3 linked regions of the Drosophila melanogaster genome follow. The protein of the gene in region 1 interacts with the protein of each later gene in a pairwise test. Each region holds a gene or a part of one and is shown on either strand. Other genes may lie near its edges.

What was found.
Region 2: the proteins of TRAM (region 1) and EbpIII interact in a two-hybrid assay, tested with the Drosophila melanogaster proteins (one large-scale study listed by BioGRID).
Region 3: the proteins of TRAM (region 1) and slgA interact in a two-hybrid assay, tested with the Drosophila melanogaster proteins (one large-scale study listed by BioGRID).

The regions. Positions count from the first base shown.
Region 1 is NC_004354.4:932,486-939,742, reverse strand, and holds TRAM (TRAM), read right to left. Parts: upstream 4,512-7,257; 5' UTR 3,905-4,511; intron 3,886-3,904; exon of another isoform or gene 3,483-3,885; intron 3,414-3,482; 5' UTR 3,395-3,413; coding exon 2,288-3,394; 3' UTR 1,921-2,287; downstream 1-1,920. Other genes in the region: CG3704 (uncharacterized protein), read left to right, coding at 1-10, 67-279; CG32815 (uncharacterized protein), read right to left, coding at 1,731-1,802, 5,062-5,202, 5,269-6,204.
Region 2 is NT_033778.4:24,023,422-24,029,458, reverse strand, and holds EbpIII (ejaculatory bulb protein III), read right to left. Parts: upstream 3,288-6,037; 5' UTR 3,158-3,287; intron 3,084-3,157; 5' UTR 2,961-3,083; intron 2,914-2,960; exon of another isoform or gene 2,843-2,913; intron 2,777-2,842; exon of another isoform or gene 2,456-2,776; 5' UTR 2,445-2,455; coding exon 2,064-2,444; 3' UTR 1,941-2,063; downstream 1-1,940. Other genes in the region: CG3163 (uncharacterized protein), read right to left, coding at 1-81; HSPC300 (haematopoietic stem/progenitor cell protein 300), read left to right, coding at 725-845, 1,335-1,444; Ak2 (adenylate kinase 2), read right to left, coding at 3,812-4,027, 4,092-4,259, 4,323-4,559, 5,039-5,140; Xxylt (xyloside xylosyltransferase), read right to left, coding at 5,509-6,037. UniProt on the Drosophila melanogaster protein: Protein component of the posterior mating plug.
Region 3 is NC_004354.4:21,371,021-21,378,523, reverse strand, and holds the start of slgA (sluggish A), read right to left. Parts: upstream 4,213-7,503; 5' UTR 3,784-4,212; exon of another isoform or gene 3,703-3,783; intron 3,103-3,702; exon of another isoform or gene 3,031-3,102; intron 2,415-3,030; exon of another isoform or gene 2,405-2,414; 5' UTR 2,320-2,404; coding exon 1,858-2,319; intron 1-1,857. Other genes in the region: bbx (bobby sox), read right to left, coding at 6,288-7,503. UniProt on the Drosophila melanogaster protein: Converts proline to delta-1-pyrroline-5-carboxylate. Involved in the conversion of proline to glutamate, which functions as a transmitter at neuromuscular junctions. Glutamate deficiency could possibly account for reduced motor activity.

The sequences.
Region 1 (7,257 bases):
GTCGCTTCAGGTAGGAACAGTTCCTCGGCTATTTGTGCACCCACTGCAGGGTCTTAACTATTTCAGGACCCACCGCCGCACACTGGAAACAGCATTTTCCTAATGGCACCTAGTCTGGTGCCCGAGTCGGCGGAAATCGAAGACGAGGAGGAGATGGAGGAGGACGCGAAGGGCACCGCCGAAGAACAAAACTTCCACAGCTTCGTGCAGAACCACCTGACTGCCCAGCAGAGCAAGCGGGACAAACTGCAGCAGGAACAGGAACAGGCTCAGCCGTAAATGGGCGGATTGTGATCCTCGATGGCTATGGATTTCGTGATTTCGAGTTTTCATTTTTATTATTTACTTTAACAAGCAAAAACATTCAATATAGTGTGTGTTCGTCACTTGCACCTCCGATATTTGGTTTGTATATATGGACTTAGTTTAGCTTTGCAAATTAGTGATAACATATACATATGGAGGATATATCCCGCTCGTAAATGTAAATGCAAGCCTCATACTTTGCGTAACTTACTCTGTATATATATATATGTATGCAGATAAATATATATATATTTACATTTATGCTGTATGTATCATGTGTGGTGTGTACTGCGTTGAGCAAATAAATTGTGTGTCGCGTGTGTTGGCTGCTGCGCCCGATATCTTACGCTTTATAGTTGCTTCTCTGGATTTGGTTGTCTCGTTATTGGCTGCCGCTTTAAATATTACGCTTACAAAAATACAGATCATCTCAAATACTTGTCAATGCCTCACAGTTATACACAGTTTATATAGACGAACAGTAGTCCCCCGCTACGGTTTCTCACCGCCCTACTGCTCACTGCCCAACTGTCCCATCTGAATCGAATCGAATCGAATCGCCAAGCGTTTTGGGCCAAGACGGACTTGCATCCCCATCCCCATCCCCGCCTGCCTGTGCTGCAAATTAGGTGTAGTCGCTTGCAAAAAAATATTCATATCTCTGGACGTTTCATTTGATTTGAGTGCGTTTTCCGAGGGCTGTGCCTCGGTGCTTTTGTGCCTCGGTGCTCCCTTTTCCGCGATGCGTCCACCAATTGGTTTCAGAGCAGCAGGAACAGCAGACACAAAAGGTGGATTGTGTTTAAAAAGCTCGGTTAGTTTGGAAAGTACTTCGGATGAGATCGAACATTGTCACATCTTCGTGCCGAGAGCCCAGCTATTGGTGGTGCACGGAGGGGCTCAGTGGCCAGCGTGGACACCACCACATCCCTCGCACGTCAAGTTATCAAGCTAGCTCTTGCATTTATGCATATTTATAAGTAACGGGTATCTTGGGGATCACACACACACACATACACACACACTATCAGCACACACACGCACACAGTTTTGTAAGGATGGGTGATTGGTAAGAGGGGGGGGACAGTGCGGGGTGAAGACAAGCATTGGAAAAATTTGGGGATAGCTAAACAGTAGTTTCAGAAACAGTCTTCTTCGTGCTTGGATTACTCTTTGCTCCGCCTTCCGCCTGCCTCATGGCCAGAAGCGGAGGGGAAATTTGGGGATCGGGATCGGGATTAGCATACTGGATCAGCTGGCGTGGAGCCATCTCAGCAGGTCCAGGTGTCTGGGTAATCGTGTGTGTCTCAAACGGATGGGCGAAGTGGGCGATGGCCCAGCCAGCGACTTTGGATCGCTCAAGCAGGCCGGAAATCAAAAGCTGGAACCGAGGGCGAACAGGGAATCATCTGAACGAGCTCCAATTAGTCGTCGTCCGACAGGTTGGTGGTGGTCAGCAGGGTGGCGTTGTCCTCGGCGCCCTGTTCCTCGATGTCCTGCAAGAGAGAAAAGTTATTCAGGCTTCGGATCACCATATGGATCACCTTGGGGTAATCACCAGGACAATGGGAAGTTGCAGGAGAAGGAGGAGGAGCAATTGAAAACACGCAGTGTGGGCTTTGCTTTTCTCTTTTGTTGTATTTGTTTCTTTTTTCATTTTTTTTTTTTGTATGTATAAAAATAAAAAAAATTTGTTTTAAAAATGACGTAAACTTAAATGAAACAAAACATTTAGGCTAAGAAATAGTTCGTTCTTTTGTGTGTCGAGGAAGTAAATGCAGCAGAAATGTTGCAGTGGTAGTTTTGAGCTAACGAGATTACATCAAACAGGGAGCCAAGTAGCCAGTGTTCAGTGGTCAGTGGCAAGTGTCCACCAATCCAACCTGGGCTCCTGTCCATGGTGCTGCTCTCTCTATCTCTCATTCGTTTTGAATTGGAAGTGTGCGGAAGATTTTGTTGCTCTGCTCGGCCGGGACGGCTCTCACTTGAGCTTCTGCTTGATGGGACTGGGCGAGGTCTGGTCCGCCTCAGGCAGGTCGCTCTCCTTCTTGCGCTTCACCTTGTCCTTGGGCGTCTTGGCTGGCTTTTTGGTCTGCAGCGCCAGCTTGGCCTCCCGCTTGGCCTCCTTCTTGGCCTCGCGCTTGGCGCGCAGCTGCTCCGTGATGAAGGAGAAGACCAGGTAGCCCTGCAGGGCGATCAGGCCGCCCAAGGCCAGCAGGGATCGCACACCCCCGATGCCGTAGTACAGCGTGAGCACACCGATCACGGACGTAGCGAAGCGGATCAGGAAAAAGACGGCATTGTTCACCACCCGCAGCTTGGCCAGTCGCTCCTCGCGGTCGAACACGCCGATCAGCTGGAAGACGTGCGACAGCAGCTCGCTGAAGTAGTGCAGCGTGAGCAGCACGAGGGCCAGGCGCTGGAAGCTAAGCGTGTAGGCCAGGACGATCAGGGTGAAGCCGCTGATCGAGTGCACGATCTTGGGCTGCTGCTCCTCCTTGGTCTTGATCTTCTGGAAGTAGAGCTCCGGCAGCATGTGTAGGTAGTAGGCCAGCTGCACCACAAAGTAGAACTTGTGCAGAAAGCTCATGGGATGGTCGGGGAAGCCCTCCCACAGCTGGGCCACCTGTCCGAGGTAGCCCTCCTTCAGCAGCACGTGGGCGCCCCAGACGAAGGAGAGCAGGTAGAAGGCCACCAGTTGGCCGGACTCGTTGAAGCGGGCCAGCTTGAACTTGGACAGGTGTAGTTTTTTGCTGATCTTGTCCAGCACGAACTCCTGGATGATCGCGTGCATGATTATGCAGGTCAGCGTGTAGAAGAATATCGCGCAGTAATCCTTGATGCCGGCGATGTAGGTGTATGGCTTGCCATATGGCTGCTCCCGGCTGGGGTCCTCACCGCTGACGTTGTGGTGCAGGGATATGAACGCGCTGGCGAACGCCGCCGTCGACTCGTTCATCAGGCCGACCACGAAGACCATGGCTACGCAGGAGATGATGTCCGCGTGGTTCTGGATCACAAACTCGTGGCTCAGGATAGGCGGGTTCTTGTTGCTGGTCTTGCGACCGAGTCCCGGTTTAATGGCCATTGCTCTGGTTCAGGGGTTTCTGAAATGGTTTATGAGTTGGTTATTCAAGATCTGCTGGCTGTTCGCCTTTCCCTGCGTGACTTCCTGCCCTTGTTGTTGCGGGGGAGCATCTGTAGTAGCCTCGCATATGTGACACGTCGCCCTTTCAGCTTGGCCGTCTGTTGCATCGGTTGAATGATGCCGTCGATGCTGCCCGGAGTGGCTTTTAGCAACGAACACCAACTGAGTAGCAGTGCGCTCCAATGGTGCTACTCCGCATCCCGGCTCCAATCTGCCAGCCACAAGTGCCCACAAGTGCGGTCCGGCACAACTGATACCTGCGCGCTCGCCTGGCATATTCCGCGCCTCTGCCCACTTTCCATGAATGGGAACCTGTGCACACAGCTGCCGAATGGTGTCGTGCTCGGGCGAATACCCTTTGAGCGCCTCCTGGCGCTCCGAGGAGTGACTACTTTGGTCAAGATGCTCCCCAACAGCAAACACACATTTTGCCTTGTTGGCACTGCTCACCGACGCTCGCACACACACGCACGCACACGGCTGCGCGCTCCCACTCACTCACACACACGCACGCACACTGGGAGACTCCAAGCGACACGCTGGCAAAACTGTTGTTGCACGCTTGCCATTTTTACTCACAGGATTTTCGCCAATCTTCCGGCCAACTGGTGACTTGCAGCGTGATTTTGCTGACGTAGACGTTGCCTTGCGTTCCGTTCCGTTGCGTTGCGTCTGGCACACACTGGCGGCTCCGATTCGGGTTGTGATCTGGAACTGAATCTGAATCTCAATCGGCACAATCGACGCAAACTGAAGTATCTGCTCTGGGCGCTCTGCCTCTGCCGCTGCCTGCGCCGCTGCTGCTGTCGACTGCGCTACTGGTGCTCACCTGTGTGCCGCCTGCGCGTGTGTGTGTGTGTGTGTGCGTGTTTACACCAGGGATGGCACATCGCGCACTTCTCACTTTTTGTTTGCTTGCACTTTTCACTGTGAAGCCGATTTGTTGGCCGAACTATTTATTCTTGTCACACTCAGCTTGCAAATTTCGAAGGTATTTTTCGCTGGTTCCAATTTGTGGTTTGCCCAGCCCTGGCTAAAGTGCCACGCACTCTCTCTGCGCGACTGCCGTCTTGCTCGCACCCGCGCCGACGCCGTCTCTGCTGTGGTGGTTTTGGTATTTTTTGGTCCTTGTTGCCATGGCGATCTTCGTGCGATGATTTTCCGCACTGCCATCGCTCACGACCAGGGCTGCAGTTCGATTTGGCGCCAAATATATTTTTATTCAAAGTTTTGGTTCTTTATACACAATTATTCAAGATTTGCACTATTTTCACACTTCACTTAACAGCTTAAAGGTAAACAAAAGACCGCACCACCTCTTTCACTGTGCTACACGAACAGCGCGCAGCTCGAATTAGTCGATTATGTTTGGAGCTCGATGCAGTGCAGGTGGAACACCTTGGAACACCTAGCCATGCAGACTTAATGCTAGGATTCGTGATTCAATCGCGATGCCGAACAACAACAACAAAAACAACTACAACGGCAGGAGAACGGGCTCAAGGACGCGCTACCACCCACGCACCCGCTCACGCGCCGCTCACCAAGCGAACACCCAACCTCCCACTTCCGGTTCGTTGGTCAAGCCAAATGCACAGTATACTCACATTGCGATTCCGCTTGCGGACGGAGGACACAATGGTGCGCTTGTTGCGTGCCACCAGGCAGACCGTGATGATCAAAATCACTCCGATGAGGGCGAAGCCCAGCAGAGCGGGCAGCAGCACGCTATCCTCGTCCTTGTAGCCCTGCAATGGGAGTAATGGGAGTTAGTGGCGGCCAACAGGGCAGCTAAGTTGTGGCGTGCGACTTACGCTCCATTGGAAGTACGTCGATGGATCGATGTAGGCCCAGTGCGTCTTTATCCAGGCACCGTTGCTCTTTTGCCCTCCGCCCTCCGATTGCGATTCCGATTCCAATTTCGATTGCGACTCGTGCTCCGTGCCCGCCTGTACCTGCAGCCTGGAGTTTTGGCCTCCTCCGGCCTGGATCTGCGGCCCCTGGACTTTGGCCAGCACTGGCGGCATTATGGGCTTCTTGGCGGCGGACTTGAGTAGGGGCACCTGGATGATGCGGGTGGTGATCGTGGTCGCCGGCGGAGGCGGCGGCGGGGCCGGGTACCTCGGAGTGGTCACCGGCGGCTCCCTGGTTGTCGTAGTGGTGGTGCTTGTGCTTGTGGGGGCTGGAGCGGTTGTCGTCGTCGTTGTGGTGGAGGTGCTGCTGCTGCTGCTGGAACTGGTGGCCACGATGTTGGGGCCAGTGGTGGTGCTCCTGGTGGTGCTAGCACTCGGATTGGTTTTGTTCACCCGAATTACGAACTGCTCAATGCCATTCCGGTTCACAATTTTCACATTCCGGCCCACGTTCTGCTGCAGAAAGGGCGATCCTGTGGGCAGTATGGAGGAAGTGCCAGCCGAATCTCCACCGCCTGGCTGCGGACTGTGGATCAGGGCCGCCTTGGTCTTCAAGAACCATTCTGCGGGGTTCGGCAGACATTCGGCGGACACAAGGAAGGGTATGAGCACGGCGCCAATGATCACGGTGCACACGAAGATCAAGCCCAAGTAGGCGAAGAAGGATCGCCGGCGTCGCTGGCCCTTGGCCTTGACGGAGGCGGTGGAGGAGGCTCCCCCGCCGGCGGAGCCCGATCGTCCCGAGCCCGAGAGCTTGCCCTCGATGCGGAAGTCGTCGTTCTGGGGCAGAATCGTGTACTGCAAGCTGTTCTCCCCGTGCCTGATGGTCTTGTACATCTTGTCCTGTTCTTCGTATGCGCTTGGGATGCTTCCGCGGCTGCCTCGATCCTCTGGAGCTTTCTTCCCTGGACCTGACTGGTTCACCTGGCTGCTCAGAGCCTCAGATGGGCCCTGGTCCAAAAGAGTTTGGTTATTCGAGTCACAACTGCCTCCACTTCCGCGACCCCCCCCCCCCCCCTCCTCCAACACTTTTCCCAGTTGTTACCTTTGCGACAGCAAATCCTCAATGTTCACTCTTGCGGGCTGCAGACCTGGTAGCTGCGTATCCTCTGTCCTCGAAGCTCCTGCCAATCGAATGTGGCTTTCTCGGCCTCAACGGAAGGTGCTGTGCGTTCTGTTGGAGTCCTTGGGGAATATTGTTTTTGTCCTGTTCCTGTTCCTGCTGCTGATGCTGATGCTCCTTGCGCACTAAATTTTATGTTTTTATTGATTAGGCGCTTGTTGTTTTCCGGCGCAGGCGCGATTTCCGAGTGTTGGCAAGTGCTCTTCGCGTCCCTTAAGGACATTTTCTAGTGTTGGCAATGGGAGTCTGGCACTTGAAGCACTTGAATCGAATTCTAACGGCTAGGTTTCAGCACTCCAGCTAGTTTTCACATCCATCGACTTGGAAAATCTCTCTTTTGGCGAGATTGTCAGCTCCAGAGCCCCACTACATCCAGTCGGGTCACATCCAAGTACCCACGAACACATTTGCTGAAGCACTCGGTCTATGCAATTTTTTATCTTGGCCAATCGTTGTGGAACTTCTACGCAAGCAGACTTTGCACCAGAAGATAGCCTGCACCACGGCTATCTGGAGCTGGCTATCGGCCGCTCCTGGCGACGATGACGATGACGAGTCCAGCTAATGTATCAATCAGAAATCGCGAGCGCAGACAGATCCAGATTTAGCGAGCTAGTCATGCATCGCCGCAAAGCCCGTCGATTCCGACCCGATAAGCCCAGTCCGAGGAGGTGGGGCCGAAAAGTGGGTTTAGACGGTGGCGGCTTATCGAGTGGCGATAAGCGGGACACAAGACCCACTTCCCCACACATTGTCCAGTGCAGGCC
Region 2 (6,037 bases), on another chromosome or scaffold:
GTTCCTGAAGTCCGCCGAGTCCGCCTTCCACAAGCACGGATTGCTTTTGTATTCTTCGATGAAGTCGTCGATAAAGTCCATTTTTTGTTTACCAAATGAAAAACACTGTAGTTTACGGGGCCACCTAGTTTATCTATGTGTGCGTGTGCGTGAGTGGCATCAATAGCTATCGTTTCGCTCGGCTCATTCCGATTGGAACACGCGGAATCGGACCGCAAAATGGGTACATACTTTGCTGGTTTGCAGTAATTCCTTAATAAATATCATTTAAAACAATAAAACATCGAAAACTAACCCACGGTTAATATAAAATATAGCAAACGCAAATTCGAATATATCTATGTATATTGCGATATACAATTGTATATTGCGGCGATAAGTTTCTTTATATATTCGGCTGTGTCTACCCCAATACTTTTATTATTTACCTTTATTTTATTATTCATATTTACACGCTATAGTTGGCAGACAAAAATATTAAGTTATTTCTTTCATCGCACTTTCCCGCGTAATTTTTAAATAGTAGTGCTTAGGGAGTGTTGTAAAACACCATTAAAATTTCTTGTTGGAGTAAAAATTTGATCTCAATGAATCACGGTGAACACGGTAATTGTATGCCTATCGATAGTTCCAAATTTTTGACAATAATTGTTCCGGCCCAACCCATCTCTCATCTCTAGATAAACACAATTAAAACGAACAGAAACAATAGGAATAAATAAAGATGAGTGGGGCTCACAGAGAGGCGATCCAAAAGCAGATCCACCAGGACTGGGCGAACAGGGAGTATATCGAAGTGATAACTGCCAGCATAAAGAGAATCACCGACTTTCTGAACTCTTTCGGTAAGCAACCTGCATACGAAGCACCCACTTCCCTCTGACGCATGTGTGTGTGCGCGTGTTTATTATCACTTCCTTTGTAGGTGTGGGTGAACGCATAAGTAATATTACTAACAAATATTCATCAGTGACAATGACTTTATTTACTCAAGTCTTAAGTCTATAGAAACAAACAGTGGTTTGTGCGTGGTGGCATATATGTATAGCAATATATGTATCTACATACATATGGAAATGTATGTATGTAACATCATCGGAGGGCTCAAAACGAAAATTCGGCTTTATCTCTATCCGAATTAGTCACCTAAATGAATTGGATAAGCTTTTTCGGTTGCTCTATGCATAATTTAAGATACGCTAAATACTGTGATAAATGATAAGCCAAAGAGTGCGAGGTAGTTGGGTTGCTAAAATATCCCATATCCTTAATAGGGTTTATGTACACTGTTGGCATTATAAACTGTATCATCGTGTGCTATCATATCCTTTCAGATATGTCCTGTCGCTCCCGTCTGGCGGTGCTGAACGAAAAACTAACGATCCTGGAGCGGCGCATAGACTATCTGGAGGCGTGCGTCGCCCAGGGTGAAACATTAACGTAAACGCTGCCCACAACCTTATACTAAGCTTTGTACATTTATAAGTAATTAAAATACTGATTTAATATTTAATATCTTTTGATTCGCAATGTGAATTGCCGTGACATTAATAATTCGCTGTACATTGTTTGTTTGTTCTTTGAAGGAAGGTTTTCACGGCTGAGTTACTTGCGGCCATCGGATTCGATTCATTGCCCCTTTTAAGAATAATATAAGTAATAGCTCAGAACCAAGACAAGCACGCGATGTTTTTGCCAACTAACCGTAGCTGCCTTTATTGTCAATGTTAATGCAAATCGCCCGCCATATATAAGCCGCTTATTAGGGTCTAGTCGTAATCTTGTGAATGTTTTTTCTAAGACCTTAATTGTGCTTAGATTAATCATCGTTCTAGTAGCAGGAGGCTAGACTTAAGTGCTACATTTGTCATAGTTAATTTATATACTCTCTGAAGCCTGGCAAATCCCCCTTCGATAACGATATAATACTCGGCAGGTGTATGGTAAAAAAACAAATCTCTTTATTCCGAGCACGATCGTAGAAATAATTTTGATGATCAGATATAAGCGTAGACCTAATTAACAGTGCATATAACCAAGAGTTTCCGGAACCGGGATCCGCCTTACACCTTGATTCCCGAGGCCTCGGCGGTGGCGCGGTAGCGCTTGATGTAGATCTCATCGGGATCGTACTTGGCCTGCAGCTGCTTCCACTCCTCGGGCTTGTTTTCGATGATGTAGCGAATGACCTTGTCGGTGTTCTGGCGCTGCTTCTCGCTGCACTTGCTGCACTCCGTCTTCAGGGCGTCCGGCAGGGACTTCTTGAGCTCCCGGCCCTCCGGGGTGCACTTTCCGTTGTCCACCAGGCACTTGAAGTAGTTTCCGAAGAGGCGGTCCGACTTCAGGATCTCGTCGACGTCGATGTTGTCGTACTTGGTGGTGTACTTATCCTCGGCGGCGACCAGCACCAGTCCAAGGACGACAAGCGCAAGTATCATCTTCATCTTGGAGTTTTCTGCGGGCGAATTGGGGTAAGTATGTTTGTACGATTAATCAGCACTTTTGTGGCTTAGTGGGTCTGTTGGTCGGGCAACCAGTTTTGTGCGCAGGGGATTTTACTGGGCAATGGAAAAATATTTTTACTAGCCATCGAGCGCGACTGCATTCGCAAAATGTATCTGTGGACTTATGGGATTTGTATGCAAATTAATGCACAGCCAGGCAGGCCACTTTGTATGCGTATCTGAAACACATTCGCTGTCTGAAAAGATGTCACTGTTTATACACAATGAAACTGGTTGCCCGTCTGGCTGCGTCCATGAGTGTGTGGACTACTACCAGCCACCAGTCGACCAGCCGAGCCGATCGGCTCCAAAAACTATAAACGGTGCGGTGGTCTTACAATGGGGCTCGACTTGTGGGGCGACTCGGAGCGAATAGATGTGAAGCAATTCAGCTGCTGGAACTAACTGAGAAATGTTTCTATGAAGTGGGCTTTTATACCTGGGCCCACTTTTTACCTGGGATTGAACTTCAAGTGTAATACACAACACAAACCGCGCGCTGTGAGCCTGTGTTCGAGCTCGGCTCGTATCCATACGGGATTGCACACACTTTAGACTTTGAAGCGAAAATCGCTATTGCTGAAAAGTCAACCCAGTGATTAGTCAATCGTCGTTATAAATTTATATAATATATGTGCGATAGTTATACACACTTAAATTGACATTAACATTAGGCAGGTGACGTCTGAGTACTAAACGGCGATCGAAAGTCGCTCTGCGAGAGATTCGCAGCCACGATGGACGGGCTAACTTGGCGATATGTTATTTGTTTACCAGATTTAACGATCTCATTAGCGATTTCCATTAGCAATTTCTCATTTGTTACACTTGAGACCCGTGCAACATGACCCTTTAATAGTCGCTTTAAAGTTGATTGCAATAATAAATAGTTCTCGGAACAATTAGTAGCTATCCATCAAACGCTAAAAACCTCGATTCGAAACTGAGTCAGCCGCATCATATTCCAGAAGCTTTCCGGAAAACAATTGTGTGGAAGTTTGAACTTGGCGTCGTCCATCCCTCATTCGAACGCAGCCCAGTTTAAAGCAGTCATGTCTCGTAAAATGTACTTGTTTCCTTCGATTTTTTTATTAAATTGTATTGTAGTTACAAATAGTGAAATGTAAAAAGTAACAAACACATACACTTTAGAAATCTGTACAAGGAAAGTAGTCGACCTGCAAAGGTAATTTCGTTTGTTCAGGATTTCCGGATGCAACTATAACTTTAGGCTTAAACGTTGTGTGTGTCTCGAAATAAATTGTCAGGAGGCAGTTATCAGTAGTTGATCATTGCGCAGGAACAAATCATAACTGGATCTGGGCAGGACGCTTGCGTTGGAATATAGAGTCGATGGTGGAGAAGACGTCGCTGGACTTCTTGGCGGCGTCCACCTTGAAGTGCAGACCCCTCAGGCCGTAGTAGTCGACCAGCGGCTTTGTCTGCTTGTGATATGCTTCCAGTCGCTTCTTCAGAGCCTCGGCGTTGTCATCGCTGCGACGGATTAGGGGCTCTCCAGTGACCTGCAAGTACACAAGGTCTGCTTTCATTTAGAGTTCTTGGATAGCGTCCTATAGAGATACTTACATCGTCCGTCATTGGCTTCTTTGGAGGGGCAAACTCTTCGTGATACGAACGCCCGCTGGCCTGGTGGATCAAGCGGCCAGTGATGCGCCTCACCAACAGACTGTCGTCGATGGCAAACTCGATGACAGCATCCAAGTTGGTTTTCCTCTTGTCCAGCAATGTGTCGAGCTGCAAAGTGCGTTTCGAACGGATTATAACCTAAAGTCCAAAGTGCTTCACACGTGTGGCTACCTTCTCAGCTTGAACGACAGTCCTGGGGAATCCGTCCAGGAGGAATCCATTCTTGCACTCGGGCTTGTCCAGGTTGGAGTCGATCATGTCCACGACCAGGTCGTCGGAGACCAGTTTGCCGGCATCCATGACCTTCTTCAACTCGGCTCCCAGCTTCGAACCGGATGAAATCTCCGCCCGCAGCATGTCGCCGGTCGACAGGTGGCACACGCAGAACTTCTCCTTCAGCAGGGGAGCCTGAAATGGGCATAATTAAAAACATTGATAAGTTTCAGTTAGAGCTAATCAATTAATCAATTTAGCACCATATCGGAAGGTAAGCAAGGTAACCAATCGGCTAGATAAGATGCATTTCTTGAGGCCAGGAATGTTCTGGTAGCCTTTTAATAGATGGTCTGCATAATACCCAATCGATTGCCTAAAGGTGTTCCACTTAATTCGCCACATCTCGCCAAGGCTTTGATTTGATTCAGGGTCAAGAGAAAGACACTGCTTGACGCATATGTACATACTTGGCACGTAGATACATACATATACATTTCCATGTACACATCGTCTTATATAACTTCACCAGTTTTAATTCTCTTCCAAGAGAATTAACGAGCTTCACCGATTATTTGCAAACAAAAACCGCGCACTTGAACACGTTGTATTTATTTATAGACTACATGGCGTCCGTGTCACAAAAAACACATCATTATGTAATTTTGACCCACCTGCGTTCCTTTGCCGGAACCCGGCGGCCCCAGGAGAATGGCGTTGATCCCGATGTTCTCAGGCTCATATCGCTCCACTGGTACTGCTGCATTCGGCGCCATCGTTAACTACGTATGCTCGACTGATTATTCGGGACTGCTCCTAATTCATAGCCAAACGGAGCCAGAAATGAAGGTTAAAGATAAGAAACAAGAGGCGAAATCATTCACACGAAACACCCTGTGCGGCATATTCCCACTCTGTTGCTTCTCGCCTATCGATAACATTCTTACATCGTTTTGATATTTTAAATGGTGATAGGTGTGGGCTGTCTTTTATCTTTAAATTTCATTTTTATATATCACCATTTATAATGGTCTATAAACTAAGATTAAATTCACCGTATATTACATAACGTTCCATTACAATAGTTATACCAAATAAAAATACCCTGCATTTAATTAATTTAATATTCCTATAACAATTTTATTTATTCTGGAATTCGCGTATTACAGTTGCCATGGTACATTTTAATATTGCCCTCGCACCGGAAATAAGCGTCGAATATCTGTGAGTATCCGTGATCCTTCCACCAGGTGCACAGCTGGCGGTTCCAAATGCAGTCCAGTCTGTAGATTAAGTTCGGGTACTCGTATCCCAGCAGGGTGAAGAAGTCCTGGTCGCCGAGGTGGCCCTTGAAGGAGTACTTGGCGACCAGGGTGTGCACCTCCGAGTGGGTCAGCTTCTCCAGGTAGGACTTTGAGTTACGGATGCGGTTTAGGAGCAGCAGGACCACGCCGGAGTTCAGGCCTGGATAGCCGTGGTGGACACGGCTATGTTGGTTGCCCCCTTCGTTGTTGATCGGATAGTAGGGATTCCCGAAACTGGTCTTCGGATAGCGCACGCGATAGCGGTAGAGGATGTGGCGGTAGACGGGGGTCAGTTCCGGTGCCAGTCCGTACAGCTGGTGCGGCAGAAAGTTGTCGAACTCATTGAACAGCAGTCGGACATCGGATCGG
Region 3 (7,503 bases), about 20 Mb from region 1:
AAGTTGTCGAAAGAGCACACTGCCGACAATATAAATACACCATCACCAAAACTGGTTACATAAAACAAATTTTCGTTTCGCATTATATTTTTTTTGGGTATGGCATGTTTTGCTTTGCTAGTCTTTTAACTTTTCTTTGGCAGACAATTCGAAACCGAGGACAGGTGTTTGCCGTTGAGCTCTGGCCCCAAAAAACAAAAAAAACAAAAAAAGCTGCCCCAGCAGAGCCAACACCACCCCCGGTCACCTAGCACCTGGCACCTGCCACAGTACCCCATCCTCAACCATGTTTTTTACCCATCAATACCCAACCCATTCTCACATATCACGAGACCCACACCGCTCCTCAGTCCCCAAAAGCAATCGACGCGCTACTGTAAATAGAAATGGCGAAAAAATAAGTACACTCTGATACAAATTCAAACGAATATGAGACCCCAATTGTGTTATTGAACTGTGTGCAACAGTTCTTGAGAATGTTCTCACTATATTTAGTACCAAAAGTATAACTAATTGAATGCTAGAACGCTCAAAATCGATTGTGCAAACGATGTTTTCAAATAGATTGCGCCGAGTCTGGTAAAGGAATGGCTTACCAATTTTTTTCTAGTGCAGAGATGTGGGCAAAGTCGATGTCTGACTAATGCCACATGTGATGTGATGTCTACGGTCCCAGGGAGCTGTGCGGACATTCTCTGTGACGTCCATTTAGCCACCCATATATGCAAATTGCATCGAGCGGGGCGAAAAAATGATAAATAAGTAACAGTCTTGGCGACGCATGCACTTTGAGTAATCGATAAGCAATCAAACGATCGCCGACGCTATTAAATAGAAGCACGCTAGCGAGAATGGGGTAAATGCGAGGGGTTTTCCAACGATTCCGATTGGCGCTCATTCGGGGGCCTGACTATATAACGACCTATATATACTATGCAGTCCTACACAGTTCACACAATCCATACGTCTCGCTGAGTAAATACGCACGAGTTAAGAGCAAATAGCGGACCGGGCAAGGTCGCCATCGCAGCGGCAATTTGCATGCCAAAGTTTCCCTTTTTCCTGCCGTCAATCAGGCACTCATTCAATCTTCTGTGCGACTGCAGCACCTGCCAGAAAGTGGCAACAAATGCAACAAGCAATTAGCCAGGAATTCATCAACACGAGGGGAGCAAACGAAAACTCGCTGCGGGTCGGGTGAATTGAAAAGCGGAAGCAGGGCGGAAAATCGGAAGGAAAGCAGCCAGCCACCTGACACGGGCTTCGGTTGCCCGGAAAATCGGAATCAAGCGAATGGAAGCTTGGCAGGATCGAAAAAATTCATGAATAAGACAAAAAAATTCATGAATAGAAAAAAGGAAGCAAACAAAAAAATTAAATATTCTTCTACGTTCAGTTTCAGACAACTTTAACATTATACATACATGGAATTCAATAGCCCTAGCTGTTCATAACTTTTGTTTACTCTTCAAGTGTCCAAGAATCCATGTACATGAATATATTTAAATAAAGCATTTTAAAGGAAGTATTTATAAAATAAATGAATGAATTATAATAAGTTGAAAGCAGCAGAAGAGGACAGAAGAGGCGAAGAGTCAGCACACACTTCGAGAGTTGAAACAAATGGTTTCGAAATCGGTCACTATCTAAAACGATACTTACTTAATTGTAATATTAAGAAAGCATTAAGCAGGGGTTATGTACTAACAGAGCCCCAGATTTCTCAGCAAACAGAACCAGAAACAGAGAGCTAGAGAGAGAGAGAGAGATCTCAGCTAGTCGATGGATTGGACCAATTCAAGGGTCAAAGGTCGCAGGACTCGGCAGAGGAGGAGTGGGGGACACCGATTAACTCACCGTCATGTTGTGCTCGACCAGCTTCTCGCTGGAACATATCATGTAGACGAGATAGGCGCGTATTAGCTCTCCAGTGGTCTTGCTCTTGAAAGCAGCAATCGGATCATTAAAGCTCACGTCCAGGGGATCCCTCTGCGGCGAGCCAGCGGGCGAGGGGTTCTTTTCCTGGGACGACTCCTGCTTCATCGATCGCTTCACCGTCTCGCTGGAGACCACCTCCGGTTGGACCAGAGTGGAGGCCTGCAGCGGCCGGTCGCCGCTGTGCAGGAAGCGCGCTCCATTGACTCCTCTCGTGGACTCCGATGCTGCTCCTTCTCCGGCGATGCTGGTGCTCCCGCTGCCGCGCTGATGGAAACTCCGGCAGGCGGCGACGGCCACGGAATTGCTCGACTTGCTGCTATTACGGCCGTAGACCAAACTGATGGCTGTTCGTTGGGCGCTCAGCGAACGGAGTAGAGCCATTACAAGGGATTCTGCGGTTTATTTACGCTTTCTGCTCTTCGGCTTTTGAGACGGTTATTGAAACGCACTCCAATCTCGGTTGTTGCTGCAAAAAGAAAACAATGGAAAGCAGAGGTAATTTCACTATTATCTCTACAAATCACTACGAATCTGAGGGAAGACAGTGGCGTAACGAAGAGATTACTAAAGGTGGTTATCTCGTTTTCAACTCGATTACAATAACGTTTTAAAAAGTGGAAATGTGGTACATATATAACAAAATTATTACGACTGTTTCAAAATATGCATTGATTTTCAATAAGATCATATAGAATTGATTTAATTGTAATTGGATGATATCTAATTAATATAAAAATAATAAACAAATGTATAATAAAATTCAATTTATAAAAATATTAAAATCAGTGTACATATTATTATTGCAACTTTTTGCCTAATTGTGTTTTTTGCCCCCCCACAAACCCCACGCCAACGCCAATGATCACAGCTGATTTTGTCGGAGAGCTTTTCGCTCTCCCTCTTTCGCTCGCTCCGAATGTTATACAACAAATGCGAAAAACGTGAGGCGGCGAGGGAGAGCGAAGCCGAAAAAAACAGCACAACACAATCACACGTACGCAAGTACACCTTCGAAATGTTCAATTAAAAAAGTCAATTTCTGGGCAGAAATCTATCTTTCGCTATTATGTGTCTTTTGGGTTTTCTTCTTACTTCGTTCTTATTATTTATTCTATTACGCTTTGAGCGTTGTATACGCCGCAAAAGCACGAAACCAAATGCGACGAAGACGCGTGAAAATGGGGCGAGTTGTTAAGCGACGGCAAATTCAACGAAGCGAAACGAGGAAGGACCCGAGGGCGAGAAAATCCTTTTCGCCGCTTCGCTCCCGTTTATGTAACTGTAAATGTAACCGAGATTGTACCGTAATTGTAACTACGACTGTGTGACGTCACAGGCATGCCAGCCCCGTTTGCTTCTGATTTTGATTTTGATTTGGAATTTGTTTTGATTTAATTGAAATGCGCCGAAAGCACACACTAATTGGTGTTAATTGCGGCTCTCCTTGATTCTCCCCAATTTTCGTTCTCAGTTTTCCACCCATTAACCCCTTTTCCCTTTTTCATTTTATTTATTAATTAGCAGCCCGCTAAATAATCGCCAGACGGGAGGCTGCAATCAATCGAAAAAACTTGGCGGGTTTCATTGCACAGATTTCATTACACTTCATTATGGGCTATATCAAGTTCTGTCTCGCTCTGGCCGCCTTGGTTAAAGGGAAACAGGGAGCTGCCGTACTTAAATTGCGAATTCATCTGAATGGTTTTTTTTTTTTTGTTTTTTTTTCTTCATTTTTCTTATTTGTTGCTATGCGGCGAATTGTACCTATTATATAACACTGCTTACTGCTCTCTACCTCGCTTTGTAGAGATCCTTTTATGATACGAATACAACGCAGCCACTCACATGTACACTGCAAAATTTCGCTTGGGTTTGTGGGTTTCCTCTATTTGCTCGATATAAATTTTGCTTTAACGGTTGTTTTGTCACTTCAAAAAAAACAAACTACGATACATAACCAGCAACGACCCAAAAACAATAATAAGGGTAAACAATACAATTTTGTAGAATTTGTAGAATTGCCAAATATAGTTTTTCGGAAAAACTCGTGTTTGTTTGACAAACTTCTCACAGCAGCCTGCGAGAAAAGTAGAAAAGTTCCCGTTTCTGTCAGCGCATTTGCTCACCTCACAAAAGACACACAAGTACAAGTACAATTATAATTATTTTTCGGTTTTTTCGAGTCAATGTTGTTCTTTTCGAGGGTTTTTGGTTTTTGCTGCTGCAACAGAGAGCGTGAGCACGCGCAAGGGTCTGAATTCGCGAATAAACTGAAACACATGAAGCGAAATTAAGGCCAACACGGCGAAAGCTCGTCCAAAAAAGCTTGAGAGAAATTGTTGGACCAGTCGGTGAGGGGCAGAAAGGGGATGGGCCACCCCCAGCAGCTGTTTGGGCTGCACGTGAGCGAAAAAAAGAAACCCGATCGAAAATTAATCGCCATCTTGTCAACTCTTATTACCCAATAAAAATCGGCACGCTTATCTAGGCCCCTGGCGGTTGGCCGGGAATCTTCGGTGCTCTTATCTTATCAATGGACTCCCACACCAGCGTCCAACAAAAACGAACCATTCCTTCTATTCATCTCTCTCCCTGTCTCTTTCTTGACAACCGGCGTCTTGCAACACTGGCCTCGCAAACAGGCTTGCTTTACACCCAGATCACTGGAGAAATATATCGATACGAAATATACGCTCGCAAAATTTGAAATTTAGTTTCAGGTACGAAAATTATTCAAAATGTTTCTCTGTGTAAAGAACGCTTATCGTGGACTCAAGAAAGTATCAAACAGATTTATTTTAATTGCACTATTTACGCAAATATAAGGCCACCAAATGAATATAAGTTTTCTAAATCTTTCTAATCGGACCCTCCCAAGCCAAATATTTCCTTTTGCTGTGTGCCGAAAGAAGGGATTTTAGAAAAGTTTGAATTATTGTTAGTTACAAAATTGAGTATCCGAACTATTTGTTACTTTCAGCTCGCAATATAAATATAATATAAATATCGATAGTTATCGCCGTCTCACAAATCTACACACCAGCGATCTCTAAAAATGTCCTTTGGGTTTGTTTTAAGCGATTTTTTCGGTTACAAATTTCAAACATATTACTTCGTATAAAATCTTTTAAACTGATTAAAATTAAAAACAAAGCGATTCGGCTTGTGACACTAACAAAAAAAAACCTTTTACGTCTCAATTTACTTTACTTTAAAATTGTTTATAGAAAAAAGGTAAGAAAGTTAAGAAACATTTATGGCATCAAAGAAATCATGTTAACGTAAAAAAAAACTACAAGAACTATATGCACTCCATATTTTTTAATATACACAATGTATGCGTACATAGATACCAAATTGTTCCCGTATACTGATTACTTACTGGCGTTTCATAGATAAATATTGCAAAATTGGCTCTTCAAAATGAAAATTCCAAGTTTCCATTTTAAAATGAATATATTTTTGTTTGCAAATTGTTTGCGTTTCGACAAATATAGCAATAAGTTACGACTACATATTAGAAATAATAATAATTAACATTTAATGAGCGACCGCTGCTGTTGATTTTGCTGCTTAGCGAACGCGGCCCGAAAAAGGAGAAACTTAACAAGAAAAAAACAGAACAAGTTATTTAAATACCAAATATATACATAGATATATGCGTGTGAAACTGACTCGGGTCTCCTCCTACCGCCGTCATAACAAACAATACATAATTCGCTATCGCCGCGACTCTCTTCTCGCATTCTCTTCGGCTGGCTTGATTTTCTGTTATTACATAATATTATTGACTAAATTGTAGATCAACGAATGTCTGTTTTTCCATCTCCATTGGGCACCACCAGCAAATAGCTTTAAGCATCGTAAGTATCGAAAATGGGTGCTTAACTTGACCGCAAGACTATCATAAGGGCGACAAATTCAGTTTAAGGTTTTCGATTGATGCGACAATGTTAAAACAATTGAATATTAATGCACAGTTGTGCGGATATGAACTGAATATTTTGGATATGTGTGCAACATAGCCCGAAAAACATGTAAAACCTATCTATATATGTATGTAAATAAAATATAAAGTATTATTCCTCAGCTCTGACGTAATGAATGATGATATGAATAACTGCTAAGGACATGCTCTTTTGCTTTCCTAAAAACTATATAATAAGGTAAACAGGGAATAGTTTAAATATCTAAACATAATTTCAAATTATTGCAACAGGATATACATATGTGAATATGTCTTCCCCAAGTATGACAATCTTGCAGTTCGCTATTTTGATTTGGGCTAACTATTTGGTGGTAATGCTGGACAGCCAGTGGTGCTGCTGATGTTATTGGTGTTGCAGGCGCTAGTTGGACTTGGTCAGCTCAGTGCGGTTGGCGGCCACTTCGGCCAGAATGAGTAGATCTGAGGTAGAGGAGGTCACGTCGAAGGCCGCCTGCGAGGAGAGCGAGGAGGATGACGACGAGGAGTTCGAAGAGAGCGGTGGCGAGGCCGACGACGAGGTTACAGGGGCATTCACCGCCTTGGGAGCACCGCTCTGGTTAAAGTAGTAGCTGCCATTGATGGTCAGGGGCAGAATTGAGGCCACCTCCTGTTCAATGGCACTAACATCGCGCCGGGTGATACTTTCCTTGCGCGCCTTTCGTCGCTGGCTTCCCACAGCCTGCAGTTGCTGCTGCTTGATCCTCACGTGTTGCTCGCTAGATAATGGGACAGCACCTTTCGCCGCAGCATCTGCTGCTGCCACATTCGAAGTTGCTGATGCACCACTTGTGCTGTTCGAATTCCTCTGTTTCTTGGTGCCGCTAAACTTCTTCTTCTTTTTGGTGCTACGTTTGCGCTGCAGGTAAGCGTCCAAGCTGAGGGCTGGCAGCTCTTTGATTTTCTCCTCGAGATCAAAGAAACCACTGCTGCTTGACTCGGAAACGCTTCTTATATGTTTTTGCATGGAATCCGGACTGCTACCCTGACGTTCCGGTGGCGAAACGGGCGGTGTATTGGGTCCCGCATCCAAGGGGATGTCCACAAAGTTTCCACCCATGTTACCTGCCGGCGGCAAGCGAGCTTTGCTCTTCTTAGCTATGGCCGCCAATTGACCGGAATTGACCAATTCCTGGTAAATCTTGCCCTTGCAGGAGCGTGATGACTTGACCTTCTTGTTTGGCGAGCTACCACTGGCCGCCTCCTCCTCGCTGGAGTTGCTCGAGTTGTTGTCCTGCAAGGAGCGCTTATTGCCATTCCCATTTGTATTGCCAGCTGGCATATGGGCAGATAGAAACTGGCTGGTCTCGCTGAGCACCTGCTGTAGGGCGAAGTCCTTTTCTTGTACTTGAACTTGCAGTAGGGAGCTTAGCTCGCCCATCTGCGTTTCGTCTGCCAGTTTAAAGTAGTTGGGGCGCAGCATAGCACGCGGCATCTCCCCTCGCTCTGCCCACTGCACTTGCAGTGAAGTCGGCACCTGCTGCTGTGGCTGATCTTCACTGGGTATGAGCAAGCCAGCAGACGCGTTGCTGGGACGGGTAGCTAGCGTTCGCAGCGGCGGAGCTGGCAGTTTGTACCAC